Pelodiscus sinensis: one gene and its partners. The main gene of each other region encodes a partner of the protein of the gene in region 2 in a complex. Links are inferred from orthologs where the notes say so. Each region holds a gene or a part of one and is shown on either strand. Other genes may lie near its edges.

Region 1 (7,465 bases), on a different chromosome or scaffold from region 2:
TGTTTACCTGTCTCTTAGTAAGTGGGCCCCAGAGGAGCACCATGACATCATCTGGAAGGGAGGTCCCAATTATGGGATTGCTCGAGCTTGATGTTATTCAAGACTTTCCTTCCCCTCAACAGCACAGAGGCTGTCGGGGGGGGGGGGGGGGGGGGGGAGGGGAGACTGCTCTACTGTTACCCTGGAAGTCTCTGCAGTGTACCTCCCTCTCTTTTAGCTCCTCCAGTTCAGCCACCCTGGTCTCAAGAGCCCATACTTGGAATCTGAGGGCCATGAGTTGCCCACACCTGGTGCACCTGGCATAGAGGTGCAGGACCCTGAGGTTTTCTGGGGGTAGACCCAGTCCTTGCGCTGGGTCAGAGATGGGTGCAGCCTCATCGCTGAATCTGTGTCGCAGGGGATAACTTCACAGCGATCTCCCACCTCTGTGCACCCGGTGTCCTGTGCTTCCCAGTCTCATGCTGGAGCCGTTACTAGGTACATCTGCCTCGCAAAACTCCCATTTCTTTTAACACCCTGTTCCCCTGAGATAGGCCCACCCCCTAAGGCCCACCCCCAGCAAGGAACCCTAAAGGGTTAGCGATCAAAGGACAGCAGACTAGAGCCCCATTGGGAACCTCTCAGCCTCGTCTACCAGCCAGCTTATGACAGCACACAACCCCCCAACCACACCACACTGTAGCCCTCAGCTATTGCCAAGGCAATCAGTCTACACAAGAGCCATGAGAAGGAAAGACAGCCCGAGGGAGCAGGGCAGGAGATGTAAGAGGGGGGCCCCGCACTAGAGACCATGCCGGTAAGTACCTGAGGATGTTGATGCAGCCGTTTCCGTTGGTGAGGAAGAACATGTTGTTATCATTGTTCCAGGAAATCTCATTCACCTCAAACTTAAACTGCTCCTCAGCCTTGGAGCGATGTGTTTTGGCATCAATGAAGGTGACCACATCATCCTTATTTCCCACAGCAATGGTCTGGCCATCGGGGCTCCAGCAGATATTAATGTTCTCTCCTGGAATGGAAGAGAGTGGGCAGGTCCTCCCGCACCACTAATGGGGGCAAGAGCCATTCATGTGCCATAGACAGACTCTTGTACGTTTAACCCAGGTCTGCCCCACAAACCTTCTGCCTTGAGTGGCAAAATGCACAGACAGCACCTGTGGTACCTTAAAGACTAACAGATATATTTGGGCATTAGCTTTTGTGGGTAAAAACCATACATCTGACAAAGTGCTTTTTACCCCCGAAAGCTTATGCCCAAATATGTCTGTTAATCTTTAAGGCGCCAGAGGACTCCTCCTTGTTTCTGAACAATTTTTTTACATAGTAGTGACTCAGGGGTGTTGGAACAATTTGCAGGGGTGCTGCTAATCCCAGCTGAGTTAGGGAGAGCAGGATTCACCTGCATAGCACCCTAGCACACATTTCCCGCACCTATATACCACCTATATACTGACTGGAATGAATATGTAACGAAACCTTGGAAGAAAAGATGCTTAAAAAATAGAAATGGGAGGACTCAACGTTTTTTTCTAACTTCTAGCTATCCCTTCTCCCTAGAGCCACACACCAGAGAGATTTTGAGACAGTCTAACATCAGTGCACCTCCACCAATACTAGCGCTAATGTAAACAGGTTCAGGTGTTTAACACTGTGTCAGAACATGGCTAATGCTGGGTACACACACAAATTCTCCCTGGAGATAGTGTAATGCAGGGGTTCCCAACCTGGGGAACGAGAAGCTTGTCAAGGAGGTACGGGAGCCAAAAAAGGTTGGGAACCCCTGGTGTAATGTATAGTTATAATTTGCTACTAAGAGCCAGAAAGATGCAATTGCCACACAATCATCATATACAGAGCTTGACAAATGGCAGTGAAAGCTGCTCGCCAGCCCCGCACTGAGCATGCGCATGCCACCGGTAAATGGGGTGTGCAGCTGAAATCTACTCGCCACGGGTGAGTAGATTCTATAGTTTGTCGAGCCCTGATCATATAGAGCTCTCAGGTTTCCTGAATTTACTGGCATCCATGTTGGGAGCAGGATGCATTTGCAAAAGAAGCAGTGTTTGTAGCTGTACTGAGATGTGCGGGTCCCTCTAACCTCCTCACATCAGCACCCACCTTTGGTGTTCACGGTAGCGATGCACTTCGTGGTGCGGACGTCCCAAATACGGATGGTTTTGTCTCCAGAGGCGGTAACAAAGAGGTCGGGGTTACTGGGGTGCCAGCACAGCTGATCCACACTATCCCCGTGGCCACGATAATTGTTCTCCTTCACCTACAGGAAGAGAATTGTTCTCCTTCACCCCCCGCCCCCGCCAGCCTCGAGCCCCTCGCCCTGCCCCACTGAGAAGAGCCTCTGGCCCCCCGGGAGCCGCAGGCTGCTCTCAACCCCCCCCCCCCTGCTCTTCTGTGGACTGAACGATCCCCAACCCCCCAAACACGTCGCGGGCTGCGGGCTCCAGCCCCCCCCCCCAGCCCCTCCCGCCCCGGCCGGAGCCCCCTAGCCCCGCCCCGCCCCCCCAGCCCCTCCCACCCCAGGCCAAGCCCCCAGCCCCGCCCCCTAGCACCTCCCGCCCCGCCCGGAGCCCCGCCCCCTCCCACCACCAGCCCCGCCCCCTAGCACCTCCCACCCCAGGCCAAGCCCCCCAGCCCCGCCCCCTAGCACCTCCCGCCCCGCCCGGAGCCCCGCCCCCTCCCACCACCAGCCCCGCCCCCTAGCACCTCCCGCCCCGCCCGGAGCCCCGCCCCCTCCCACCCCAGCCCCGCCCCGCCCCCTAGCACCTCCCGCCCCGCCCGGAGCCCCGCCCCGGGGGGGCGCACCAGCCGGTCCTTCTCCAGCACGAAGACGCTGGCGGTCTTGTCGAAGGAGCCCGAGGCGAGGCGGCGGCCGCAGCAGCTCCAGGCCACCGAGTGCACCTTGGCGCCGTGCGCCGGGAACTCGCGGCTGCGCGTGTTGGCCCGGAACAGCTCCTGCATGGCCTGCACGTACGGCGAGAGCGCCATGGCAACCGCCGCCCGCGCTTCCGCTTCCGCTTCCGGCGCCAGGGGCGGGACGTCGCCCCTCCCCCCGCGCTGCAGCGCCCCCGCGCGGCCGGCCCGTGCACGGGTCACAGGCCCCGCCTGCAGCCGCGCGCGGACCCCTCGGGCCGCTCCCAGCCGCCTGCCCCCCCGGCCCCCGTGAGCGCCCCCGCGCGGCGCGGGGCGGGGCATGGCCGAGGGCGCCGCGCGCACCCGCCACTCGGGCTCGGAGCGGGGCCACGCGGTGAGTCCCGGCCCCGCCCCCCCGCGCCCCCAGTGCTGCCCCCACCCCCATGTCCCTCTGGGCCCCCCCGCCCCCCCACAGCCCCGTGCCCCCCCGCGCCCCCAGTGCTGCCCCCACCCCCCATGTCCCTCTGGGCTCCCCACTGTTCCCCCTGCACCGCTGGCCCCCCAGTGCTGCCCCCCACAGCTTCGCGCCACCCTGCACCTGCCTGGGCCCCCCTCACACACCCGCACCCCTCTGGGCCCCCCCGCGCCCCCAGTGCTGCCCCCCACAGCTTCGCGCCACCCTGCACCTGCCTGGGCCCCCCAGTGCTGCCCCCCCACACACACCCGAACCCCTCTGGGCCCCCCCGCCCCGGCACCAGACTCCCGCCCCCCCCCCACAGCCCCGTGCCCCCCCGCGCCCGATGCCCCTCTGGGCCCCCCAGTTCTACCCGCACACACCCCCCATGTCCCTCTGGGCCCCCCACTGTTCCCCCTGCACCGCTGGGCCCCCCAGTGCTGCCCCCCATGCAGGGGCAGGTGCCCCTTTTGCGGGGCTCAGGGCAGTCCAATTTCGCGGGGCCCCCCTTTGCCACGGCGCATGCGCGGGGCCCAGGGCAGTCGCCCCTCTCGCCCTGCCCTATATCTGCCCCTGCCCCCATACTCCTCTGGGCCCCCCACTGTTCCCCTGCACCACTGGGCCCCCCCGCTGCCCCTCACACATACCTTGCGCTCCTCTGGGCCCCCCAGCGCTATGCCCCCCCACAACCCCTTGCACCCCTCTTGGCCCCCCGGTGCTGCCTCCCCATGCCCCTCTTGGCCCCCCGGTGCTGCCCCCACACACCGCCCCGTGCTGCTCCCCTGCATCCCCCTCGCTGCCCAACCCCAAAACCAAACTCTCATGCCCCACTGCTTTAGCCCCTGTGCACCACCATCCCTGGCTTCCCGCCGGGCGCCCCCCTGTGTGCACATGCACGCACTCACTATGCCTAACCAGACCTCCATGGGCCAGGCCTGATCCTCAGAGCCAGTCAGCTGGTGTGGCTGGCAGGGGTACCAGCACTTTGGCTGGCTCGGGGGCCAGACATGGCTCAGGTTTGCAGTGGCTGCCAATGCTTATCCTGTTGGCTGAGGCCCTGCGAGTTGAGAGGGGCTGTTCTCAGTCCAGTTCCTCGTGCCCCGGCAGCGGGGTGGAAGTGGGTGGGTACGGCGTGCCGGAGAGAAGTGGCTGCCCCTACCGTCCTGGGCACAGCCCATGAGGGGGTGAGCAAAAGTGGCAGCTGCCCCAGGGCCTGGTGGTTTAAAGGCCCTGGTTTGAAAGGCCGGCTGGGGGAAGCTGACCTCCACCCCTTCCCACTGGGGCCCCGGGAGCTGGGCTCCTGTACCAGCATGCTTTGTAAATTACTTTCACCATGACTAGTTGCCGTATTTCGACCTCTCGGCACTCTGGGTCAGCACTGGCTTGCATAAACCCCTCCGTGATTCTAAGGCTAGAAGGGGGCCGCTGTGCTCGCATCTGAGCAGCAGAACCGAAGGCGGCTCTGAATTTCTGGGCCAAATCCCGAGGCGCTGGCTGCGAAGAGCAGAGCGTTTAGAAAAAACATCTGCTCTTTATTTCAGAACTGCCAGGGCTGGAGAATCCGCCCCAGCCCTTGGTAGGCTGGCCCGGGGCTAATTACCGTCACTCTTCCACATTGGCCTTATTTCTAGTCTAAATTAGTCTAGTTTCTGCTTCTGGCCATTGGATCGTGAGTCCTTGATACATCGAAGCCCCACGTAGCTACACCCAGACTGTGCCCAAGTCTCCCCTTAGCCGTCTCTTTGTCAAGCGAAATAGCTTGAGCTCCGGGGGTCTCTGACATTTGTTCTTGAGTCTTTTAACCCTTCCTGTGACTCTGCCGGGAGCCCGCTCCCATCTTTCAACCCTCTTTCTTCACGGGTGAGCGTGGGGTCCCGGCAGGGCCTTCTGGGTGCTGATGCTGCCCGTGAGGAAGACTTTCATGTGGGCTGTTGAAGCTGAGCTCCGTCCTGGGGCCCCAAGGCTTGGGGGCAGCACTGACGGCTCTCTCTCTCCCCAGGAGGTCATTGATCTGACGGGCGAGGACTTGGCGGTGATTGACCTGACCGAGGGGGAGGGCTCCCCCGAGGTCGGCGCGGAGTGTGCGCTCCCTCCCCACGGCCCCCTGCTCCCCGCCGTAAAGCAGGAAAGCAAAGAGGAGGCCGAGCAAGGCTGCGGGGCCCCCTGGGACAGAGCCCACGCGGAGACAAAGGGCACCCACGGGGGAGGCTGTTTCTCCTCCGACTCCAGCAGCAGCAGCACCACCATTAACAGTGACCTGGGCTCCCTAGCCAGCCTCCAGCTGGACTCCGACGTGTTCTCCTTCTCCTCGGCCAGCAGCTGGAGGGCAGGCTCGGACTGCTCCGTCCCCGAACCTCCCAGTAGCTGCCAGCCAAGGGACGACCCGGACTGCGGGCCCCTGCCCCCGGCTCAGAGACTCTCTCCCGACCGCTCCAGCTGCCCCCCTGCAAGCGGCCGCGGGTCTCCAGAGTGGCCTTTGCTGGAGACTAGTCGCTGGGTGCTGGGTGCAGCGAAGCAGGAACCCCCCGAGCCAGGCAGGCGGAGGCTGGTCCACAAGGCCTGGCTGCATAAGCTGCGCTACTTCAGGAGGATGCCGGTGCACCACTTGTTCCTCCAGGGAGTGGTACAGGACGAGGAAACCCGCCAGGTAAGCACGTGGGGCCCCTGCCTCCCTCCCGGGGCCAGGTGGCGCCTCTCATATGGGGGGGCGATGCTTGGGCTGCGCCCCCGGCCTTTCCCGTCAGCCGGGCTCTGTGGCTCAACATCCCAGCCTGCAGCCAGCGCACTGCAAATTCGGGGGGGGGGTTACCAATGACTTGGGGTTTGGCCACCTCCTCTGCAATGCGCCCGTCCTGGCCTCTGGCTGCCTTGTGCCCGCTCAGTACCGAGCAGCGCCCCAGCAAGGCAGAGCTCGAACAGCGGGTCGCGCCTGGTAAGGTCCCGCGGAGGGCAGGGGACAGCAGGTCTCCGCTTGCGTGCGCCAAGGGGAAAGGTGCGGTCTCTGCGCAGATGAGCCTGTGCCGATCCCCTCTGGGCAGCACTGCGCAGAGCTTACGTCACCAGCCCGAGGAGCTGCTGGGCCGGCCTGTGAGCTCTGCCGTCCTGCTGGGGTTTGGTGCTGGGGAAATGCCCCGTTAGCAAAGGGCCCGGCGAGCCGGGAACCCGGCGGTGTCAGCATGGGCCAGCAACGGTCCATTGAGATGGGCTCCTGTGCTGGAGGCAGGCAAGCCCGCAGGCCAATCCGTGAGTGCCTGCACTGCCCGGGGCCTAGATGCATCTTCTCAGCTCCTAGAGGCGGATGCAGGGCGTTCTTGCTTCCTGGAGAGGGCCGGCCGGGTGACAGCACAGCTGCCTTTGGGTGACTGAGCCATCGCTCAAAGCCCCCCCGCGGGGCATGACACCCCCCAGCTGCACCAGTCGGTAGTCATGGTGCTGCACCTGGGGCTGGGTAGCCGTCCAAGCTAGCCCCACCTGGGTGACCGCAGCACGGCCCCCGGCTGCGTACCCTTCCCTTTCTCCTGCCCCAGGAGAGTTCCTGGGAAAGAGACCCCTTTTCCAGCCAGGGCTCTAGGCAGCGCCCAAATCGGCGAAAAGGGAGCTAAGGCACGTTTCCGTGCTGGGGCATTCCACCCCCGCCAGCCCCTGGGACGAAGCACAGCCAGGCAGGGGGTGAAACTGTGGTTAGTCCTGGCAGGCTGCACGGCGCCCCGTGTGACACGGCGCCTCGCACGGCTGACGCCTCACTGTCTGACAGAACGCCCGCCGGAAGGCCCAGCCCATCCCCAGCACAAAGCTGAGCATGGTGGTCACCACCATGGAGGAGAACTTCCCCCGGGGGACCCTGCAGTTCCTCACGGACTTCGTGTCCTGCCAGCATTACCCCCCGAAGGAGATCGTGTCCCACGTGACCAGGAACATCCTGCTGAGCTCGGAGGCCGGGCCTCTGCTGAAGGACGCCTACATGCTGCTGATGAAAATCCAAATGTAGGTGCTCTCTGCCCCGGCTCCGTGCTGCCTGGCCGGGAGCTTGCTCCCCGTATGGCGCTGGCCGCCAAACACTCCGGCAGGGAGGCCCCTTCCCAGCACGGTGGGTCCGAGGGCCTGGTGGAGGCTGGTGCCCGGCCGGGGTGGCACACACAGGTG
Region 2 (7,469 bases):
CGCGCGAGCACCCGGCTCACAGGGGGCCCCAGGAGCAGGTGGGGGTCGCTGGAAATCGGGTGCCGGTCGGTGATGCTGGGGGCCGCCAGCCAGCGGAACAATTCCCCTCCCGCCGGGGCTCTCTGAGCCTCTGCCAGGGCCACGCAGGAGGAGGGGGAGGTGGCAGGGTCCCTTCGGGAACCACTGAAGCCCACGGCGAGGAGAGGGGCCCGTGCCTGCTGCTGAGAATGGGGTCGGTGGGAGCGCTGGGGTCCCAGCCCCACAGAGCAGAGGGGCTGCTCCCGGTTTAGCCCCTGGGGTGGGTTACAAGGAGCCCCCCCCCCTTCAGCTGGCACTGGCTGGGGGGAACGTCAGATGTTCACCCGCTTGTGCACGGCTGGGGGAGGCGTGCGACCCCCTCGCTCTGTGCGCGTGCGAGCGCGTTGCAGCCCCTGCAGCAGCGAGCTCGGAGCGCCCCCGATACGCACAGGCCCCGCCGCCGCCTCTGGCCCTTTAAATCAGCCAGGCTGTCCAGTCTCTGGAATCAGATCCACCAGGGTGGGGGGGCGGGGGGGCCTGGCTCTTATTTAAAGTCACTGACCAGCCGACGCAGGCTCACTCCGCAGGAGCGCCGAGCCAGCGGCTGCAGGGGCAGCCCAGGGACAGGTGGGTCTTCGGGGGCAGCCCAGGGGAGGGGCAGCTGTACAGGGGAGCCCAGGGGTCACCCCGGCTCTGGTCTGGCCCCCTCTGCTCTTGGCAGGGCAGGGCTTAACGAGGGGGCCTGGCAGCCACCCCATGGCTCTGGGCACAGCCAGGCCGGCGGGGATCAAGAGCCCCGTGTCAGAACTTGCTTTGTGCAGGGGGTGGGGCTGGTGGCTCCGAACCCCACGATGCCCTCTGACTCCTCGGCTCAGCACGGCCAGCGGCCTGGGGCAGAAGGGAGCAGGGGGCAGGGACAGGAACCACACACCCCCCTCCGGGCAGGTGCTATTTCTGCCCTGAAAGTTTCCCCAGGGGTCCGGCTGGAGGCAGGCCCGGTTCATCCTCGCCCGGTGGCTTCTGGCATGGGACCGGAGCTGACACCCCCAGCCCCGGCCCCTGGCTGGCATGGCCGGGCTGCCCAGCTCCCCGCGGGCAGGTGCGCCCGTCCCCGCACCCTCTGCCACAGCCCCCACGTGGGCAGCCCCTGTGAAGCCCCCTGGGGCTGGCTGGGCCCCACAGGCGGCTCTCCCGCCGTGGGTCTGCCAGGCAGGTGGCTCCCCCTCAGCCCTGCACGCTGTCTCCGACAGGGCCGGCGCGATGGCGTCCCAGCTGGAGCACGCCATGGAGGGGCTGATCGCCGTCTTCCACCACTACTCGGGCAAGGAGGGCGACAAACGCAAGCTGAGCAAGAAGGAGCTGAAGGAGCTGCTGCAGACGGAGCTGGGCTGCTTCCTGGAGGTGGGGATCAGCCCCCCAGGCCCCATGTGCGTGGCACCGTGCTAGCCCCGGGGGCCGGCCCTGTGGAGGTGGGGGGGTCCTCTGGCACGGAGCAGGCAGGCCTAGGTGCCCCCGCCGTCCGGCGCAGGGACCACAGGACGCCCGCCTCCCCTCCCGTGGGGGGCAGCCAGCCGCACAGCAGGAATCGGAGGCGGCCGAGCCAAGCCAGGTGCCGGGGCAGGGTCGCTCCCCTGGGTAGGGCTGGAGACGGTTCCCGGCATCTGGGCTCCAGCCCCTCCCAGGCTGACGGGCCTTGCTGGTATGAAGTTTCCCAACATTCCTCTCTGCCTTCCCCCGGCTCCCACTGGCTTCTCCTGCCCCACTGCAGCTCCAGCCCTTCCCGCCCCCTCCCTGCCGAGCCCTCTGGCCTCTCTCCCCCCGGGCCGGCTCCCCACAGCCCCAGCCCGGCGTCCCCCTAACCCTTCCTGCTCGGGCGTCTCTGCTGCAGACCCAGAAGGACGCTAGCACCGTGGACGGCATCATGCAGGACCTGGATGTGGACGGCGACGGGGAGGTGGACTTCAAGGAGTTCGTGGTGCTGGTGGCTGCGCTCACCGTGGCCTGCAACGCCTTCTTCTGGGAGGACACCTGAGTGGGGAGCCCCCCTGGAGCCGCAGCCCCCCCACCCCCGTTCTGAGCCAGCCGGCGGCCCCCCTCTAACCACTAGACAGAGCTACTCATTAAAGGCACCAAACGCGCCTGGTGTCCCGTCCCTTCCTCGGGGCCGCCGAGCCGAGTGGGGAGGGGACACGGCTGCAGCAGGGCTCGGGGAGGTTGGGAGTGGGGAGAGTGCTGGCTCCAGGGTCGATGCTAGCCCTGGAGTTAGGAGAGGGTGGAGGCCGTGCCCTGGCCCGTGGGGCTGGGCTCTGGGCCCTCAGACTCGGGGTTCCTGGGGGGACAGGAGCCATCCGTTTTCAGGGCAGTGCCAGGGGGAGAGTCGCCCCTGGCCAGCCAGTGAGGACCCCTCCCCACCCATTCACCACCTGTGCTCGGTGCTCCCGTTGGCTCTCTTGGCCCCTGCCCCTCTGACCCACGGGCCAAGCAGGCCGCTGGCTCTGGCGTCACCCACGTGCCTCAGCCAGGGCCACCGCACAAAGGAGCCCGCGTTCATGCCCATTCGTAGCTGGCGCCACGTGGCACAGGCCCCCCCAGGGCGACCCTGCCTCAAGCAGGCCGGTCGCTGTCGGAAAGAGGCAGGGTCCTGCAGGGAGGGGAATGGGGGCGGCTGGGGGAAGGGGGCAGCAGCGTGGGTGACGCAGGTGGGGCTGGACAGCTTCTGCTGGGGCGGGCAGGAAGTTCACAAACACGGTGCCGCACCCATTCCCCAAGGGGAAGAACCCGTTCTTATCTCCCTCCCGAGGGCGGCCGGGAGCCCAGTAAACAGCCTCCCCTGACTGGGACCGGCTGTTTCGCTGAGCAGCACGCAGCGCGGGGAGCGCCCCTCGAGGGCCGACGCGGCTGACTGCAGCCACCGCGGCATGGACAAGCGCGTCGGAGGCAAGCAAACTGCACAGCGATCAACGTGTCCGCAAGGGGCCAGGAAAAAGGCTGGCGTGCCCGTGTGAGTCGGGGAGCCTGCAGGATCAGAGGCTGAGCGCTGGCCTCCCGTCCTCTGCTGCAGGTTCTCCTCTCCCCTTCCCAGCCAGGGCCTCGAAGCCCGCGATGCAGAAAACGGCCTTGAACTGCTTGCAGCAGGGAGCAAACTGACCCGTCCCCACCAGACGCACACCCCCTGGCTGGGCTGCGCTAGTTCGGACAGCACGCGGAGCTGGGAGTAGCCCCACTGCAGGAAAGAACACGATGAGCCCTCCAAGGCCTTGTTTCAAATGTGGCTTCCCATTGTTTTTCCATAGTGAAAGCGAAGTGACCGGGATCCGCGAGGCCGCGTTGCCAAGTACGGCGATGCAGCTTTCACCCAGCGGGGACGTGGAAAGACCCTGCCGTTACTATGGTTTAAAAAGGGGGAATCCCGTCTCTGGCTCCGGATTTCGGAAGGCTTGAGCCTCGCGCTGGTGCTGCGCGTGTAACGCACACAACGCGCACCACTGCCCTAACGCACACAACGCGCACCACTGCCCTAGCGCACACAACGCGCACCACTGCCCTAGCGCACACAACGCGCACCACTGCCCTAGCGCACACAACGCGCACCACTGCCCTAGCGCACACAACGCGCACCACTGCCCTAGCGCACACAACGCGCACCACTGCCCGCCGCCACCCGCATCCGCCGACACAGAACCACGAGCCCGGCCACGCGGGCGCTTCTCCCAGGAGCGCACCCCTCGCGATTCCCCCCGACGGGCCGGCCGTAGGACTAACTCCATGGGGCTCCCACCGCGGGGTCCCGTCTGGGGCCCCAAGGGGAGCTCAGGCCCTGTGGCTGTCCCTGGGGCTGGTGTCTGAACGCGGGCGAGAGCCGAACCCGGAGCCCGCCCCATCCTCGCGCAGAGCAGCCCTGTGCTGGGAGGGCTGGGGGCGGGGCTCGGGGGTGGGCACAGACGCTTCTCCCTCGCCCCCCAGCCTGCAGGGGAGCCCCCCTAACCAGCTGCCCCCAGGACTGGCACCCTCCACCTTGGGGCCACAATCCATGCCCCCTTTCCAGCCCAGGCTACCCCCCAGCTATTCCCTCCCCCCACCCTAGCCTACTTTCCATCATGGCACCCTCCCAGCCCCAACTCTGTCGTTGCCAGCTCTCCCGGAGCAGACAGATGGGATGCCATTTATAGCCATGGTGTGCAGCCCGTCCGGTCCGGGAGAGTTGGCATCCGCACGCCACTGCGGAAAGAGCCCTCTCAAGCCCTGCCCTCTGGCCAAGGCCCGCCCCATTCACTCGGAGTGGTCACGTGGCTCAACCACGCCCCCTCCCTCCGGGGCGGGAAAGCGAGGGTGCGATCACGTGGCGCAAGGCGCCGCGAGGGCCGCGCGTTCTCGCGCCTGCGCAAGCGCGGTGGCGCCGGTCGCCATTTTCCCCCGGCTCGGCGCGGGGGGAGTAGGGAAGCGGGCGGCGGCCATTTTGTTTTCGGCGCCTGAGGGAGCGAGCGGCCGCGCGAGGCAGCGGGAGCGGGCGGAGGGGACGGAGCCCCACGGAGCCAGCCCCGCGCCCCACCCCCGCCCCGCGGCGCCGCCCGGAGTCCTGGCGACCGTCTGCTTCGGTGAGCGGCCGGGCCGGGCTGGGGGGCGGCCGCTCGGGCCCTGCGCCCGGCCGGGGACAGCGGGGCCCGGGGCCGCGTGCTCGGGGGCCGCGGGGCCTCAGGCGCCGCCGCTCCCCGGCCCGGCAGCGGCCCCCTCGGCACCGGCGGGGCGGGGCCTTCCCGCTTAGTGCCCCGGCTGCCGCGTTCCCGCCCCCGCCGGGACATGTCTCGCAGGCGGGCCCCCTCCCCCCCCCGACAGAGGGGCGCTGCCAGGCGGGCCCCCCCTCCCCCCCCCCGACAGAGGGGCGCTGCCAGGCGGGCCCCCCCTCCCCCCCGACAGAGGGGCGCTGCCAGGCGGGCCCCCCCTCCCCCCCCCCGACAGAGGGGCGCTGCCAGGCGGGCCCCCCCTCCCCCCCCGACAGAGGGGCGCTGCCAGGCGGGCCCCCCCTCCCCCCCCCGACAGAGGGGCGCTGCCAGGCGGGCCCCCCCTCCCCCCCGACAGAGGGGCGCTGCCAGGCGGGCCCCCCCCTCCCCCCCCCGACAGAGGGGCGCTGCCAGGCGGGCCCCCCCTCCCCCCCCCCCGACAGAGGGGCGCTGCCAGGCGGGCCCCCCCTCCCCCCCCCCCGACAGAGGGGCGCTGCCAGGCGGGCCCCCCCTCCCCCCCCCCGACAGAGGGGCGCTGCCAGGCGGGCCCCCCCTCCCCCCCCCCGACAGAGGGGCGCTGCCAGGCGGGCCCCCCCCTCCCCCCCCCGACAGAGGGGCGCTGCCAGGCGGGCCCCCCCCTCCCCCCCCCCGACAGAGGGGCGCTGCCAGGCGGGCCCCCCCTCCCCCCCCCCGACAGAGGGGCGCTGCCAGGCGGGCCCCCCCTCCCCCCCCCCGACAGAGGGGCGCTGCCAGGCGGGCCTCCCCCCCCCCCCCCGACAGAGGGGCGCTGCCAGGCGGGCCTCCCCCCCCCCCCCGACAGAGGGGCGCTGCCAGGCGGGCCCCCCCTCCCCCCCCCCCCCGACAGAGGGGCGCTGCCAGGCGGGCCCCCCCTCCCCCCCCCCCCCCGACAGAGGGGCGCTGCCAGGCGGGCCCCCCCTCCCCCCCCCCCCGACAGAGGGGCGCTGCCAGGCGGGCCCCCCCTCCCCCCCCCCCGACAGAGGGGCGCTGCCAGGCGGGCCCCCCTCCCCCCCCGACAGAGGGGCGCTGCCAGGCGGGCCCCCCCTCCCCCCCCCGACAGAGGGGCGCTGCCAGGCGGGCCCCCCCTCCCCCCCCCCGACAGAGGGGCGCTGCCAGGGGGGCCCCCTCCCCCCCCCCCCGACAGAGGGGTGCTGCCAGGTGCGCCCCCCCCCGACAGAGGGGTGCTGCCAGGCGCGCCCCTCTCCCCCCCCCCCCCCACACACACACTGTGGACTAGTTGAATAACTGACAGGAGTTCAACAAATGCCCTGGTAGCGCCTGCAGACTGACACAGCAGGCAGCTGGTATCGGTCTTCACGGTGCTATTAAAGTTTTCCCTGTTACAGACCAACGTGGCTACCCCCCCTGAAGCTTTTGGTAAGAATTCACGAGGTTACTCGACTGTTCGGTTAACCGATATTCAGCATCCCTAGACGAGACCACATAACTCACCAGTCTGTTGAAAGGTGCATTGGGACATTTCACGATGCCATGAAACACGCTGCTGGTGCAAGTGCATCGCTCATGTGCGGTTCTTGGCTGTCTTCACCCACAGACACAATGGCCTGGAAAATCTAGCCAAATCATTCTACGGGCTCAGTTCTTCCTGCTAAGACTGGCTGTTGTTCATTTCAGACTATCGCGATCTGAAGATGGCTGCGCAGTCGGCGCCGAAGGTTGTGCTAAAGAGCACCACCAAGATGTCTCTGAACGAGCGGTGAGGAAGCCAACAGCAACTTCAGCTCATAAGAATTTTTTTACTTAATTGTCACTGTGTCCAGTGTCCAAAGCCAACGTGGTTTCTGCCCTGTTTTAACCTAACTAAAACAAAGCAGGTGGCTATGCGCCTCTGGCTTAAGTCTCAGCAAATGTGGTACACAAGGTTAAAAGGGCAATTATCTTGGAGGATTTTGTCAGTAGCTGTTAATATTAAACTGAGACATAAATATGGTGGGATGTTTTATAAAAAGAGAGAAACCTCGCACCCTCCCTTTTTCTTCCACATGTTTTTACATTTTAAATAGTTGACACTGCAGCATGGTAGCATGTTACCAACGCTGCAGAAGGCTTGTTGCTTTGTCCAAGGTAGACACACGCATGGGTCTGGCCTGTAAGAGGCATGCAGCAGGCCACCAAACCAGCCCAAAGGCCCTTTAACAATGTTCTTGGGCCTTGTAAGAGGCAAATGCTTTGCTTCATCTCCATCGCTTTTCTTTCTTGGCACTGCTTTCTTTTTGTTTCCTCTCTTAAATATCCTCCAGCACTTTCATGCCATTATGCTTTTGCAAATCTATAATGACGAACTAACATTGATGCTTCTGATCATTTTTCACTTACTCACTCTCAGATTAAGCGTTAATGTCATTAAACCAAAGAGAAATGAAGCCATTTATAAGTTGTCCTTATTTCGGTATGGGCTGCACTTTTAGCCAGTGCCTGTGGCTTATGGCAGGGCAGGCAGGTACCATACAGGGGAATTATGGACCTGTTAATTTTGTTAGTTCTAGTCAGACCACATTGAGCACTTTGTAGTGCTTCATTTCACTGTCATTTGTGGCTTTTAGGGTACTGGTAAAAGAGCTTACTTTTTGATCATATGTTCATGCCACATAATCTTAAAGGAGGAAAATTCCCAGCATACCAAAGAAATTCCTAAATGCCCAAGAAATTGTATTCTGAACAAATGCTATCAGGTGGTACCTCCTGTGGTTCTAG
Region 3 (7,318 bases), on a different chromosome or scaffold from region 2:
TCCCCTTTATTCGGCTCTGGGGAGGCCACATCTGGAGTGTTGTGTCCAGTTCTGGGCCCCCCACTACAGAAGGGACGTGGGCGCATTGGAGGGGGCCAGCGGAGGCGACCGAAATGATTGGGGGGCTGGATCACATGACCTACGAGGAGGGGCTGAGGGAGTTGGGTCTGTTCAGTCTGCAGCAGAGCAGAGCGAGGGGGGATTGGAGAGCAGCCTGCAGCTCCCGGCAGGGGGTCCGGAGAGGCTGGCGAGAGGCTGGTCTCAGGGGCGGCGGGTGGCAGAACAGGGAGCAACGGGCTCAAGTAGCAGCGGGGTGGCTCTAGGTTGGAGATCAGGACAAAAGCTTTCCCTAGGCGGGTGGGGCAGTCCTGGGCTGGGTTCCCTAGGGACGGGGAGTCTCCATCCCTCGGGGTGTTTACATCCCGGCTGGACCAAGCCCTGGCGGGGACGGTTGAGTTGGGATTGGACAGGGGGCTGGACTCGATGGCTCCTGAGTCTCTTCCAGCCCACGGGTTCTAAGTGTGTGGGAGTCCCTGGCTGGGGGCACTGCTGCAGGGAAGCTCACAGCACTGCCAGGGAGAGGGTGGGGGGCACTTTCCAGTGCTCCCGGGGTAAGGAGTGGTGGGCTGCGGGGTTCAGAGAACGCCATGGGGCCAGCCTCACCCACGTTGAACTCTCAGGCCAGGCAGCCGGCCAGGAGAAACATGCCCCCCCCCCCCCCACGCCTCCAGCCTGGAGGTGAAATGTAACCCGGTGGGGCCCCTGGAAACTCCCCCAGGCCCGGGGGGGGGGGCAGCCCCATAAACAGTCCAGACACCCTGGCTCCAGGCCCTTTTCCTCTTTATTAGCGCCTGGGCAGCAGGAGAGGCATAAAACCGTCCGTTCGGCTTGTCTGGTGCAGCGGGGCCCTGCTGCAGCGTGTCCAGGCCCTGTCGGTCTGTCCAGCCCCAGTCTCTCCAGCTGGGAGGGGGACAGCCCTGGTCTCAGAGCTCCATCTCCTGGGGCTGCCCCCGGCACAGGGGAGGCAGCAGGGGGGCGGCTAGTGCCCCGGAGGGCAGCAGGAGGGTGTGGATGGAGTAGGGCACCCGGCTGCCGGGGGGCGCCCACAGCACCAGCTCCGTCGAGGGGTTCCTGGGGGGGGAAGCAGACAGAGGAGTTAGTGAGGCTGGCCCCAGAGGTCCCTCCCCGCTGTGGGGCAATACTCACAGGCAGTGCAGGAGCTGGGGGGCCAGGAGGCTGTCCCTGGGGGGGTCCGGCTCCCCCAGGCTGAGCAGGGTGCAGTCGGCCATGCTGAACTCCCCCTCCAGCACCACGCCGCTCTCCTCGGACTCCGCCGTGCTGGCGTCCTCACTTCCTGCAGCCAGGGGCAGCCTGGGGAAACACAGTGCTGAGATGCAGCCACCTCTGGGGTGAGGCAGCTGGTGAGCAATGCCCCCCTCGTGCTCTGCCCTGGGGCGGGGCCAAGGGTACCTCTGCTCCTGCAGCCAGGGCTCCCAGGGGCGGCTGGCAGCCGGGCCCTGGGCGGGGAAGCCGTTGGCGCTGTAGAGGTGGTCGTTCTCCAGGCTCAGGGAGTTGAAGCGAGCAGCCATCTTCTCCTCCGACAGGAACTGCTTGGGGCCAGGCTGCCTGCGGCGGGGGGAAGAGGAGCGCTCCTGCACACCAGCCTAGGGGGCGCCCGGGCCCCGCGGCGCTCAGTGGCACCGAGACGGTTTCCCAGCATGCACGGCGGGGACCAGGCTTCCTGGGGACCAGTGCAGACAAGCTGGAGAGCTCCCAGAATCCCTTGCACCCGCTCACATCAATCTAGTCGTGAGGCCAAGAACTTCCCCCAACGCAATTCACCAAGCTACACCTAGCGTGGGAACTCCCAGCATGCACTGCCCCATCACACCCAGCCCTGGGACTCCCAGCATGCACTGCCCCCAGTCACGCCAAGCCCTGGAACTCCCAGCATGCACTGCCCCATCACACCCAGCCCTGGGACTCCCAGCATGCACTACCCCCAGTCACGCCAAGCCCCGGGACTCCCAGCATGCACTGCCCCCAGTCACGTCAAGCCCCGGGACTCCCAGCATGCACTGCCCCATCACACCCAGCCCTGGGACTCCCAGCATGCACTGCCCCCCGTCACGCCAAGCCCCGGGACTCCCAGCATGCACTGCCTCATCACACCTAGCCTGGCACTCCCAGCATGCACTGCCCCCAGTCACGCCAAGTAGGGAGGGTCTGAGAACAGCCAGTCGGTGGTGCCAAGCGAGGGATCCCCCAGCATGCATTGCAGCCTGGCTGGGTTTCCCCAGGAGGGGGCGATGCCTGCCCTACTCACGGCTCCTCCTGCTCCAGGCGGCGTTTGAGGGCCAGCGATGCTGCATGGGGCAGCTGGCGGACGCTGAAACACGAGGGGAGAGTGGCAATCAGGGCTCCGGTCTCCCTCCCCGTTGGCTCAATCCCAGAAGCCTCCGTTCCCAGCCTCCGCCCCCACCCGCTCACCATGGTAGGGCCGTGCCGGTGAAGCTCACCACCCCCTGAGCCCGAGCGGCCCAGGGCATTCTGCTGGGCACCTCCTGCCGCCAGTCAAGGCTTGGGGCCATGCAGCGGGGGGAGCCCAGCCTTGGGCGGCGGCTCCAGCCCATGTCCCCCCCAAGGCAGGGGCAGCGCCGGGGCTCGAAGCTGGGGGTCACCGCCAGCCCCAGCTGCCAGGGTGGGGGGGCCATCCACGGGTCATCGCCTGGGGAGAGAAGGGAGAGTTACACACTCAGCAACCCGCCGATGGGCCGCAGTCTGCCCCACGCCGCTCCCAAGTTGCCCAGCAGCCAGACCCACCGAACTGCAGGGCTCCCCGTATGCACTGGGGTGGGTCACCGCAACCCTAGGGGTTCCCAGAATGCACTGGGGCGGGTCATGCCAAGTCTAGGGGTTCCCAGAATGCTCTGGGGTGGGTCATGCCAAGCCTAGGGGTTACCAGAATTCATTGGGGTGGGTCATGCCAAGCCTAGGGGTTCCCAGAATGCACTGGGGTGGGTCATGCCAAGCCTAGGGGTTCCCAGAATGCATTGGGGCGGGTCATGCCAACTCAGGGAGCTCCCAGAATGCTCTGGGGTGGGTTAAGGCAATGCCAAGGAGCTCCCAGAATGCACTGGGGTGGGTCATGTCAAGCCTAGGGGTTCCCAGAATGCACTGGGGTGGGTCATGCCAAGCCTTGGGGTTCCCAGAATGCACTGGGGCGGGTCATGCCAACTCAGGGAGCTCCCAGAATGCTCTGGGGTGGGCTAAGGCAATGCCAAGGAGCTCCCAGAATGCACTGGGGTGGGTCATGCCAAGCCTAGGGGTTCCCAGAATGCACTGGGGTGGGTCATGCCAAGCCTAGGGGTTCCCAGAATGCACTGGGGCGGGTCATGCCAACTCAGGGAGCTCCCAGAATGCTCTGGGGTGGGCTAAGGCAATGCCAAGGAGCTCCCAGAATGCACTGGGGTGGGTCATGCCAAGCCTAGGGGTTCCCAGAATGCACTGGGGTGGGTCATGCCAAGCCTAGGGGTTCCCAGAATGCATTGGGCCGGGTCATGCCAAGCCTAGGGGTTCCCAGAATGCACTGGGGCGGGTCATGCCAAGCCTACGGGTTCCCAGAATGCACTGGGGCGGGTCATGCCAAGCCTAGGGGTTCCCAGAATGCATTGGGCCGGGTCATGCCAACTCCGGGTGCTCCCAGAATGCACTGGGGCGGGTCATGCCAAGCCTTGGGGTTCCCAGAATGCACTGGGGCGGGTCATGCCAAGCCTTGGGGTTCCCAGAATGCACTGGGGTGGGTCATGCCAAGCCTAGGGGTTCCCAGAATGCTCTGGGGCGGGTCATGCCAAGTCCAGGGGTTCCCAGAATGCCTCGCACCCAGCTGCCACACCCTATAGAGAGGGGCGGGGCCTGATTAAGGGGTGTGGCCGAAAGAAAGGGCGGGGCAGAAGGCGGAGCTCGATCCCGCGCATGCGCAGAGCGAAGGAGCGACGCCAAGCGGCGCGGGCCATGTCATTCGTTTCGCGCCCGGAGAGGAGTTAGGGCGGGGATCGGCGCACGCGCGGTACGGACCTTGGGGGAGTTTTTTTCGCGCCGATCGGGTTGCTTTTTCTTCTTCCCCTCCCCCCACCTCAACGTTCTCAGGATTCTCCGCCGCGGCCTTCCTTGTAGGGTGCGCGCGCAGCCGCTCCTGTCATGTGACGGGGCGAGCCAATGGAGTACTGCGCCGCGCGGCCACCCGGGAAGTGTAGTCCTGGGCTTTTGCGAGAACGGGGCCAGCCGGCGCGTGGAGACTCCACTTCCCGTCGGGCCCCGCGCGCGCTCGCCGCCGGAGCCAAGCCAGGCGGGGTCGCGCAGCCTGCGGGGAGCTGCAGTCCTCGGCGCGGTGGGATGACGTAAGGGGAGCGCGACACGGAGGCGCATTGCATGGGGAGACCTCATGGCACCGGGGCAGGTAAGTGGGGCCGGGGAGAGGGAGGAGCTCCCAGCATGCACCGGGCTGGGTCAACCCCACCGCATTCTGGGAGCTCCCCGGCGTGGCGGGACCCGGCCCGGTGCATTCTGGGAGCTCCCGGCGTGGCGGGACCCGGCCCGGTGCATTCTGGGAGCTCCCCGAGTTGGCGGGACCCGGCCCGGTGCATTCTGGGAGCTCCCCGGCTTGTCGGGACCCGGCCCGGTGCATTCTGGGAGCTCCCCGGCTTGTCGGGACCCGGCCCGGTGCATTTTGGGGGCTCCCCGGCGTGGCGGGACCCGGCCCGGTGCATTCTGGGGGCTCCCCGGCGTGGCGGGACCCGGCCCGGTGCATTTTGGGGGCTCCCCGGCGTGGCGGGACCCGGCCCGGTGCATTCTGGGGGCTCCCCGGCGTGGCGGGACCCGGCCCGGTGCATTCTGGGAGCTCCCCGGCGTGGCGGGACCCGGCCCGGTGCATTCTGGGAGCTCCCCGGCGTGGCGGGACCCGGCCCGGTGCATTCTGGGAGCTCCCCGGCGTGGCGGGACCCGGCCCGGTGCATTCTGGGAGCTCCCCGGCGTGGCGGGACCCGGCCCGGTGCATTCTGGGAGCTCCCCGGCGTGGCGGGACCCGGCCCGGTGCATTCTGGGAGCTCCCCGGCGTGGCGGGACCCGGCCCGGTGCATTCTGGGAGCTCCCCGGCGTGGCGGGACCCGGCCCGGTGCATTCTGGGAGCTCCCCGGCGTGGCGGGACCCGGCCCGGTGCATTCTGGGAGCTCCCGGCCTGGCGGGACCCGGCCCGGTGCATTCTGGGGGCTCCCCGGCGTGGCGGGACCCGGCCCGGTGCATTCTGGGAGCTCCCGGCTTGGCGGGACCCGGCCCGGTGCATTCTGGGAGCTCCCCGGCGTGGCGGGACCCGGCCCGGTGCATTCTGGGAGCTCCCCGAGTTGGCGGGACCCGGCCCGGTGCATTCTGGGAGCTCCCGGCGTGGCGGGACCCGGCCCGGTGCATTCTGGGGGCTCCCCGAGTTGGCGGGACCCGGCCCGGTGCATTCTGGGGGCTCCCCGGCGTGGCGGGACCCGGCCCGGTGCATTCTGGGGGCTCCCCGGCGTGGCGGGACCCGGCCCGGTGCATTCTGGGGGCTCCCCGGCGTGGCGGGACCCGGCCCGGTGCATTCTGGGAGCTCCCGGCGTGGCGGGACCCGGCCCGGTGCATTCTGGGAGCTCCCGGCGTGGCGGGACCCGGCCCGGTGCATTCTGGGGGCTCCCCGGCGTGGCGGGACCCGGCCCGGTGCATTCTGGGGGCTCCCCGGCGTGGCGGGACCCGGCCCGGTGCATTCTGGGGGCTCCCCGGCGTGGCGGGACCCGGCCCGGTGCATTCTGGGGGCTCCCCGGCGTGGCGGGACCCGGCCCGGTGCATTCTGGGAGCTCCCGGCGTGGCGGGACCCGGCCCGGTGCATTCTGGGGGCTCCCCGAGTTGGCGGGACCCGGCCCGGTGCATTCTGGGGGCTCCCCGGCGTGGCGGGACCCGGCCCGGTGCATTCTGGGGGCTCCCCGGCGTGGCGGGACCCGGCCCGGTGCATTCTGGGGGCTCCCCGCCTTGGCGGGACCCGGCCCGGTGCATTCTGGGGGCTCCCCGGCTTGGCGGGACCCGGCCCGGTGCATTCTGGGAGCTCCCGGCGTGGCGGGACCCGGCCCGGTGCATTCTGGGGGCTCCCCGGCGTGGCGGGACCCGGCCCGGTGCATTCTGGGGGCTCCCCGGCGTGGCGGGACCCGGCCCGGTGCATTCTGGGGGCTCCCCGGCGTGGCGGGACCCGGCCCGGTGCATTCTGGGGGCTCCCCGGCGTGGCGGGACCCGGCCCGGTGCATTCTGGGGGCTCCCCGGCGTGGCGGGACCCGGCCCGGTGCATTCTGGGGGCTCCCCGGCGTGGCGGGACCCGGCCCGGTGCATTCTGGGGGCTCCCCGGCGTGGCGGGACCCGGCCCGGTGCATTCTGGGGGCTCCCCGGCGTGGCGGGACCCGGCCCGGTGCATTCTGGGAGCTCCCGGCGTGGCGGGACCCGGCCCGGTGCATTCTGGGAGCTCCCGGCGTGGCGGGACCCGGCCCGGTGCATTCTGGGGGCTCCCCGGCGTGGCGGGACCCGGCCCGGTGCATTCTGGGGGCTCCCCGGCGTGGCGGGACCCGGCCCGGTGCATTCTGGGGGCTCCCCGGCGTGGCGGGACCCGGCCCGGTGCATTCTGGGGGCTCCCCGGCGTGGCGGGACCCGGCCCGGTGCATTCTGGGAGCTCCCGGCGTGGCGGGACCCGGCCCGGTGCATTCTGGGGGCTCCCCGAGTTGGCGGGACCCGGCCCGGTGCATTCTGGGGGCTCCCCGGCGTGGCGGGACCCGGCCCGGTGCATTCTGGGGGCTCCCCGGCGTGGCGGGACCCGGCCCGGTGCATTCTGGGGGCTCCCCGCCTTGGCGGGACCCGGCCCGGTGCATTCTGGGGGCTCCCCGGCTTGGCGGGACCCGGCCCGGTGCATTCTGGGAGCTCCCGGCGTGGCGGGACCCGGCCCGGTGCATTCTGGGGGCTCCCCGGCGTGGCGGGACCCGGCCCGGTGCATTCTGGGGGCTCCCCGGCGTGGCGGGACCCGGCCCGGTGCATTCTGGGGGCTCCCCGGCGTGGCGGGACCCGGCCCGGTGCATTCTGGGGGCTCCCCGGCGTGGCGGGACCCGGCCCGGTGCATTCTGGGGGCTCCCCGGCGTGGCGGGACCCGGCCCGGTGCATTCTGGGGGCTCCCCGGCGTGGCGGGACCCGGCCCGGTGCATTCTGGGGGCTCCCCGGCGTGGCGGGACCCGGCCCGGTGCATTCTGGGGGCTCCCCGGCG
Region 4 (7,791 bases), on a different chromosome or scaffold from region 2:
TGTCAGCACAGCGCGGTGGCCATTTTTATTTTAATAAAGCAGGGATTACTTAAATCCCCGCTTCACTGACTATGTCGAGTAAACTACTTTACATGGCTCCGTCGATGGAGCCAGGTAGTCTAGATGCACCCTATGATGTGAAAATTCCAATGAACAGAGCTTTTGGTTCCATTAGTATCTGTGTTCAGCTAATACTAATATACTATTGAAAAGGGCAGGAAAGACTCTAATACTAGGATAGCGTCTAATTCTGTAGGGGGTTTCTTTTGTGCATATGTCTTTTATGGCCATAATTTGTGTTGTTAGAGCTACTTTACCTGTTTTGCAGGATTTTTAAAGTGTTAGCTTTATCTTTATTTTTGAAGTGTTTTTCCCTTGAAGCATTTACACTTATTACACCTGCGGTACCTACTTTTCTTAGTCCACGATCACATAAAATCATGTGTTATGTATTTCAATTAATGCTAAAAACAGACAATAATAATGCACAAGAGCAGAAGCGTTCAAAATATTTTTGTTCTTGATTTCAAAAGAAACTGCGTGAGGCTTTCATATCTCATAATATCAAAAGACTTTATATTACATCAGTGACTAGGGAGGATTTTAAAATTGTATCTGATTTTTAAATCTGCAGAATTACATAACTTGCAATCAATTAATTAGATTTTCCAAAGTAAAGGAGAATCATACCTGAAATGATGAATGGGGAATCATAACTGAATTTGTGTGATTCTAGTTGTGTTCTACAACAATATGTTCCTGCCCTATTAATGTTTGATATTTTTATCAATAAGCTGGAAGAAAATACGTCCTCTGCAAATTCTACGGCAAAGATAAACAATTGTGGAGTAATAATGATAAGGACAAAGAGTGATCTGGATCGCACGGTAAATAGGGCTCATTCAAATAACATGCATTTAATACAACCAAAATTAAAAATTATAAACATAGTAACAAAGAATAGTTGTCACACTTGCAGGATGAAGGACTCTACTCTGGAAAGCAGAGATTCTAATAAGATATCCTGGTGGATAACCAAGTGAACATGAGTTCCCCGGCTAAGGCTGTGACTAAAAAAGGCAATGAAATCTTTAGATGTATAAAATGGGAAATATCAAGTAGAAGTAGAGATATGGTATTGTCTCTGCATATAGTATTGGTGAGATCATTACGCTTTCCGGTTCAAGTGTCTTCTTCCTTTTACTAAAAAGATGCTGGAAAATTGAAAATGGTTCAGAAAAGAGCTACAAGAATGATATGAGTTTTGAAATCCTGCCTTTCAGAGACCCAGAAACTCAATCTTTCTCTTATCAAACAAGGTTTAGAAGGGACTTGATCACAGTTTAAAAGTACATGGAGAGGAGATTTCATTTAGCTGTAGGTTCTTTAATCTATCAGACATGGTCCAATGGATGAAAGCTGAAACTAAACAAGTTCAGACTGGGAAAAGGTGCAATTTTTTTAATAGTGAGGATAATTAATCTTTAGTACAACTTACCAAGGAATGTAGTAGATTTCCATCACTTGAAGTCTATCAGACTGGATATCTTTCTAAAAGACATACTCTAGTTCAACCAGAAGATAGGAACCTGAGACAGGAATCATTTGGCCTGTGTTATTCAGGAGATCAGATTAGATCATCATAATGCTCACTTCTAGCCTTAAAATCTATGAAGTGTTAAATTGCATTTAAAATCCTGTAATTTTATCAAACAAAAGCCATTGATAAGAAGACAGAAGTACAGGCATTTTCCTTTAAATCAAAGTGCTGTTAATTCAAGCATGAGTCAACGACAGAGATCAGTGGAACCATTCTAGAACCCTGAAATGTTCTATAATCAGTGACACATGAAGACATGAGTCACATGAACATCATTAAACAACATGAACTACTCATCTGGACTACTGGATTCTAAATGAACTTTAACCATTAAATAAAAGTATGTAGATAATACTGTGGAGTTCAGTGTAAACACCTGATCAATGGACAGTGGTAATCAAAAACCAAAAAGTCTTATAGTGGATGAAGAAAGTGATAAAAATAATATAAAATAATATGTCATTATATAAATTAATTGTGGTTCTTCGGCTGCAATATAATATTCAACTCTGGCCTAAAAGGACATTGCAGAAAAAGAGAGAGTCCAGAGAAAAGAAATTATTAGACATGAAGGAAGATTTAAAATGTTCAAGACAATATAGTTTACAGAGCAAATGAAGAAAAGGTGATTAGATAGAGGTATGTAAAATAATGAACTGTTAAAAGTGCCTGCTTAAACTTCTCTAATCTATCATTTCTTATAATACTAGAAGATCTGGATGATAGGTGCTTTAAAAAAGCAGACTAGAGGCATCCAATGAAATTAAATGGCAACAAATGCAAAACTGAAAAAAGGAAATGACTTATTTAAACCATACAAAATTAACTGGTGAACTCACTGGCATGAAGTATTATTGAGGCCAAGAGCTAGCCCAATTTAACAAAGAATTAGACACTCATATGAATAATAAAACTATTGAGAGTTACATACTATCATATAGTCTCAGTTAATCTGTAACTGAAAAAATTTAGCAAACAAATGGTCTGGTAGCACTTTATAGAGTAACAAAACATGTAGATGGTATCATGAGCTTTCGTGGGCACAGCCCGCTTTTTCAGATGAAAGCTCATGATACCATCTACATGTTTTGTTAGTCTATAAAGTGCTACCAGACCATTTGCTTGCTGTTTTTTTTCCTGTAACAGACTAACTCAGCTACCCCCTGAAGCTCCTGAAAAAAATTAAAAAACAATGAATGGTCCTGCAGCACCTTAGAGATTAACAAAAAATGTAGACAGTATCATGAGTTTTCGGGGGCACAACCCACTTCTTCAGATGAATGTAGTGGATTGTGTCCCCGAAAACTCATGATACCGTCTACATTTTTTGTTAGCCTCTAAGGTGTTGCAAGACCAATTGTTTTTTAAGTTTATACTATAATATAGAAAATTTAAGAGATAGAAATTACTTATCTATGGTTATTTCTTCTACTATCATCCATCACTATAATATCTCAAAACCTAAATTTATGCTTCAGGATGTAAAGCAAACACAAATTACTTAGGATTAGGGAGAAACCAATTGTCCATTATTGGCATTCTTGTACCTTCCAATAAAATATCTAATACTAGCCACTATAAAAACAAGATACTGAACTAAATAAGCACTGGTCTGATTTGGTATGGCATTTCCTATGTACCTATTAAAGACCATTCTCAGGAGCAAAATTAATCCCTGAGCAAGTTCACCTTTAAACCAGGAAACTGCAAAACATTCCAGTGCTCTCACACTTTTTACTGTATCCTAGATCAATTTTCAAAACAAAAAACTGACCCTAGTGAGAAAAACAAATATTTTAAGCGTACAAAGAAGCACATAAGTTATGTAACATGTGACGATCAAAACAAAAACAGAAGACTATGGTAAAAATATATATGAATGAGAGCATCCAAGTAAAGTCCTCTAAAATGCTTGAAACGTGAATGCTTATTAAAGTATACCACAGTAACACCAGCTACAGCTAACTACACCGTTACTACAGAGTCACAGCTTGTGGTTCCACATGCTAACGCTAACCATATGGCATAAATAAAACCCTAATCTCTCCACCCCCTTGTTCTCTCCCCTATGGTTCCTAGCTTGGGTCCGCATGGATCTCCTCAACAAAGAGCGATGAGGCAGATACCAGACCAGCTAAAACAACAGATGGATTCTCCCTTGGTGTAAACATCTTTAGCGTGGGCATAACTTTTATTCCCACTGCAAACTGATACTTTGTAGGTCAGTAAAAGGGTAAACAAGGTGCTGAGGACAACTCCAGTTGGTGAGCAGCTACCTCACTGGGTTTAGTAGGACCAGTTGGGACTCTGGCAGCATCCTGCCAGATGCAGATGTCTGGTCCTTCTTAGCATAGACGGGAGAATGAATTTTTTTTTGTTTTTTTGCTCAGACTATTTTATATTTTAAAATTAACAGTGACACTGCAGAGTACCGCTTGTTGAGAGATAAGCACAGGTCCAATGTGGTTACTGTCAATGTTTTACCTCAATGAGCTAGGAAAGGGTCAGTCATACCCAACCGGAGTTAGAAATTGCAGTGGTAGCACAAATATAAGGGCGACAGTGATAAGGGACATGGTAGCAACGAGACAAGTGCGTAACACAGCAGCGAAAGCAATGAAGGAAACAACGGCCACAGCAACCAGGAGAAGGGAGATGGTGGGGAGGGATGTTAATTCTAGAGAGCCGATGGTGGTGAAGTTGTCGTGGGGAATAACGGAAAGGATCACATCAAGCGAAACGATGGCGAAGGCAACTGCGATGAGAGAAGGGGTGGTAATGGAAGCCAAAGGCATCATGGAGAACGACGGCAACCGCGGCGGCTCAACGATGGCAAACGCAACCCAACGGAGGAAAATCACGGCCACCCCGGGGCACGATGCCAACGAGGGCGGCAGAGGGGGACGGTGCGAGGCCAATGCCATGGGGGCACCCCAGGAGAGCGTCAACGAGGCCGGCACCCACCCCACGCTGCCCGTGACGGAGACGGGGGGCAGGACGCCAGCCACGGGCACGCGGGCGGTTGCGCGGGGGCCACGCGTGGCGCACGACGGTGAGGGGGCAGGGGGCCCCCACGCACCCAGCACCCGGGGGGGGGCGCCCAGGAGGGGGGGGCCGGGCGAGGCCGGCGCGCGGGGTGGGGCCGGCCGCCCCTCACCTGGTGAGGCCGGTGCCGCGCGGGGTGCGCCCGCCCTCTCCCCCGCCGGCCGGTGGCGCGGCAGCGCGGGGCCCCGGGTCCGCAGGGAGCAGCTCAGGCCCCAGCCTCCGCCTCCATGGCTGCCGCGGCCCCGGCTGCATTGTGGGAAGCTGACCTCACTCGCCGCCGCCCCGCCAGCCGCCTGGGCCGCCATGGGCGCCGTGACCGACGGTGAGCGCGTCCCCGGGCCCGCCCGGGCCTCCCCTGCCCCCTTATAGCGCCCGGGACACGCGGGCCTCCCCCTATAGCGCCCGGGCCGGGCCGGGCCTCCCCTCCCCTTATAGCGCCCGGGACACGCGGGCCGGGCCGGGCCTCCCCTGCCCCCTTATAGCGCCCGGGACAACCGAACCGGGCCTCCCCTCATCCCCTATAGCGCCCGGGCCGGGCCTCTGCCCCCTCCCCGTTACCGGTCGGGCATCCCTCCTTATAGCGCCCCGGGCCAGGCTTTTCCCCGGTACCGCCCGGGCCCCGGGACACGCGGGCCTCCCCCTTATAGCGCCCGGGACAACCGAACCGGGCCTCCCCTCCCCCCTTATAGCGCCCGGGCCGGGCCTCCCCCCCCCCCCCCCGGCCAACCGAACCGGGCATCCCCTCCCCCCTCGGTACCGGCCGGGCCTCCCTCCTCATAGCGCCCGGGCCCCTCGGGCCAACTAGGCCTCCCCTCACCCCACTCCTCGGGCCGAGCCTCCCCTCCCCTCTTATAGCACCCGGGGCGGGCCTCTCCCCGTTACCGGCCGGGCCTCCCTCCTCATAGCGCCCGGGCCTCGCTTCCCTTCCCACCCCCTTATACCGCCCGGAGCTCCTCCGGCCCAGGCCTCCCCCCTTATACCGCCCGGGCCAGGCCTTGCTCTCGCCTCCCCCCTTTTACCGCTCGGGGCTCCCCCGGGGTGATAGCGGGCCGGGCCTCTCCCCCTCCCCCCGGCCAGAGCCTGCCTCTCAGGCCCCAGCTCGTGACCCAGCCCCACAGCGTTGGCCTCGGAGCGCCCCTCGCTCCAGAGACCACAGCGCTTTGGGGGGCCCCTACAGGTCCCTGGGGTGCCCCCCCATTCCCGGGTTTGCCCCCGTGTATTCCAGAGAGACCCCCCGCTGCTGGGGTTCCCAATGGGCCCCCGTCGGCTCCCAGCTCCTGCCTCCCGCACCCCAGCTGTGAACTCCAGGCTTCTCCCTTTTCCCCATGTCCCCTTCCCCTTCCAGAATCTCTGCCTACCAGCTGTCTTCCCTTCTTTCCCACTCCAGAGCTACCGCCCCCATCCACAGAAACAATCACACAACCCTAAGCACCAGGCAGGCCCCATTGCAGAATGCCCCCACTCAGACCTTCTCAATTTGGGAAATTAAGGGGGGGGGGGTACTTGTTGGCAGCGAAGTAATGGGGAAGGGAGGTTGGATACACCGAATACCCTACAGTCAACCATAGAAAATGTTCTCTTCAGTGCCAGGCTGTAATGGGAGGGATATTGTTCAAAACCAGGATCAATCATAACTTGAGGCTGTAACTTACCACGTTTTTAAAATATGATCTTCCTCTACTCTAGATGAAGTTATTCGTAAACGACTTCTAATTGATGGAGATGGTGCTGGTGATGACAGACGAATTAATTTGTTAGTGAAGAGCTTCATTAAATGGTGCAACTCTGGATCTCAAGAAGAAGGGTATTCCATTCTCTGTTTTTCTTCTTTAAAGCAATGTGGTCTAGATACCAGTAGTTCAGAGCCAAAAGCTTGTTTTGATTATAAAAACATTCATTTCATCTTAAAACAATTCATTTCATCTTAAAACATATTTTATTACATTTAAATAGGACCTTGCATTGTTTACAGTCCAAACTCTGCAGCAATTATGTAACCCAGATAATTAGTACTGTAGAGTCATTTTTTGCCAATTCCCTTGATATTAGTATTTTATTTAAAGCTCTAGGTCTTGGGGTTAAGTAATTGGATGGGAATGTCAGCTTTTTTTTTTCTTTACTTATCTACTCCCATTGATGTAGACTGAAAAGTTTGTACTCTAAGCACTCAAAAGCCAGAAGGCAAATAAAAAACCCTTTTAAAAAATCTCAATTTAAAGTGAATTATTTTTTAAGGCCTGATTCATTTTTTTAAAATATTTTGGGTTGGTAATAGTGAATCTACGCTGTTGCTTAAGCACTGTTGAGAGTTCAGTAGTGTTATAATCTTTCTGCTATAGCAACTGATTTTACAGGAACTCACAGCTGTAGTATAGTACAGAGTTTTTCAACTTTTTTTTTATAAAGTACCCACTTTAAAAAAAAAAAAATTATAAGTACCTCCAATACCTACATTTTTCAGACAGACAACATTTTTTTCTACCAGTGCAACACATTTGTTTAAACAACTTAATTGTAGCCGGGCGGGCCATGAAAATTTTTGGGTGTAAAAAGTACAAAAATAACAAAGTGCTGTAAGACTGACAACAAAAATTCAGTTTTCTCTCAATTTCAGTTGTGTTGACTTATCCCCCAGAGTTCTCTCGTGTACCCCTAAGGGTACTGATATCCCTGGTTTAGGAACTCTGGTATAGGATGACTGACAGATATGTCCTGGAGAAGATAGTATGTTGCTTTTGTTCCTCTGTATAAAAAAGTGTCAACGAAAAAGCCCATTAATTAAACTCCATTCAAAATGAAAGGGAGGACTTTATTAGAGACAACACTCTAAAACTAGATGCTTAGAGGAAGTTTTCTTTTGGGTGACTATAAGAGCATTCTGCAGAGCGTTCAGAGCAAGACGTTGTAAAATAGAACTGACAAAGTAGTCTAGGGCTGTTAAATTGCGGTTACCGAGCTAACAGAATAGTCGATAGGACTGCTATGCAGAGCTGCAGTGGGGGTAGCTCCGGGAGCCACCCATGCTGCAGCTCTGCGTTTTAAATGTAGTGAAAATCGTCGGGCTCTTACTACATTTTAAAGGTAGTGGCACCGTGTCTGCATGAGCCGGGACTGCTCGGTCCTGGCTTGTGCTGAGTCCAGCAGCC

What was found.
Region 1: CHTOP (region 2) and THOC3 share a complex: the UniProt entries of both Homo sapiens proteins name them as parts of the transcription/export (TREX) complex. The link is inferred for Pelodiscus sinensis from reciprocal best matches to the Homo sapiens genes CHTOP and THOC3.
Region 3: CHTOP (region 2) and THOC6 share a complex: the UniProt entries of both Homo sapiens proteins name them as parts of the transcription/export (TREX) complex. The link is inferred for Pelodiscus sinensis from reciprocal best matches to the Homo sapiens genes CHTOP and THOC6.
Region 4: CHTOP (region 2) and THOC7 share a complex: the UniProt entries of both Homo sapiens proteins name them as parts of the transcription/export (TREX) complex. The link is inferred for Pelodiscus sinensis from reciprocal best matches to the Homo sapiens genes CHTOP and THOC7.

The regions. Positions count from the first base shown.
Region 1 is NC_134727.1:40,973,558-40,981,022, forward strand, and holds the start of THOC3 (THO complex subunit 3), read right to left. Parts: upstream 3,004-7,465; coding exon 2,782-3,003; intron 2,276-2,781; coding exon 2,119-2,275; intron 1,010-2,118; coding exon 805-1,009; intron 1-804. Other genes in the region: SIMC1 (SUMO-interacting motif-containing protein 1), read left to right, coding at 3,209-3,262, 5,322-5,969, 7,077-7,306. UniProt on the Homo sapiens protein: Component of the THO subcomplex of the TREX complex which is thought to couple mRNA transcription, processing and nuclear export, and which specifically associates with spliced mRNA and not with unspliced pre-mRNA.
Region 2 is NC_134734.1:23,640,841-23,648,309, reverse strand, and holds the start of CHTOP (chromatin target of PRMT1 protein), read left to right. Parts: upstream 1-4,453; 5' UTR 4,454-4,613; intron 4,614-6,100; exon of another isoform or gene 6,101-6,131; intron 6,132-6,389; 5' UTR 6,390-6,406; coding exon 6,407-6,471; intron 6,472-7,469. Other genes in the region: S100A1 (protein S100-A1), read left to right, coding at 1,279-1,419, 1,907-2,050. UniProt on the Homo sapiens protein: Plays an important role in the ligand-dependent activation of estrogen receptor target genes. May play a role in the silencing of fetal globin genes.
Region 3 is NC_134714.1:134,744,368-134,751,685, reverse strand, and holds the start of THOC6 (THO complex subunit 6), read left to right. Parts: upstream 1-4,318; 5' UTR 4,319-4,444; coding exon 4,445-4,459; intron 4,460-7,318. Other genes in the region: HCFC1R1 (host cell factor C1 regulator 1), read right to left, coding at 984-1,131, 1,207-1,371, 1,471-1,626, 2,327-2,389, 2,491-2,714. UniProt on the Homo sapiens protein: Component of the THO subcomplex of the TREX complex which is thought to couple mRNA transcription, processing and nuclear export, and which specifically associates with spliced mRNA and not with unspliced pre-mRNA.
Region 4 is NC_134721.1:4,391,563-4,399,353, reverse strand, and holds the start of THOC7 (THO complex subunit 7), read left to right. Parts: upstream 1-4,791; 5' UTR 4,792-4,948; coding exon 4,949-4,967; intron 4,968-6,331; coding exon 6,332-6,449; intron 6,450-7,791. UniProt on the Homo sapiens protein: Component of the THO subcomplex of the TREX complex which is thought to couple mRNA transcription, processing and nuclear export, and which specifically associates with spliced mRNA and not with unspliced pre-mRNA.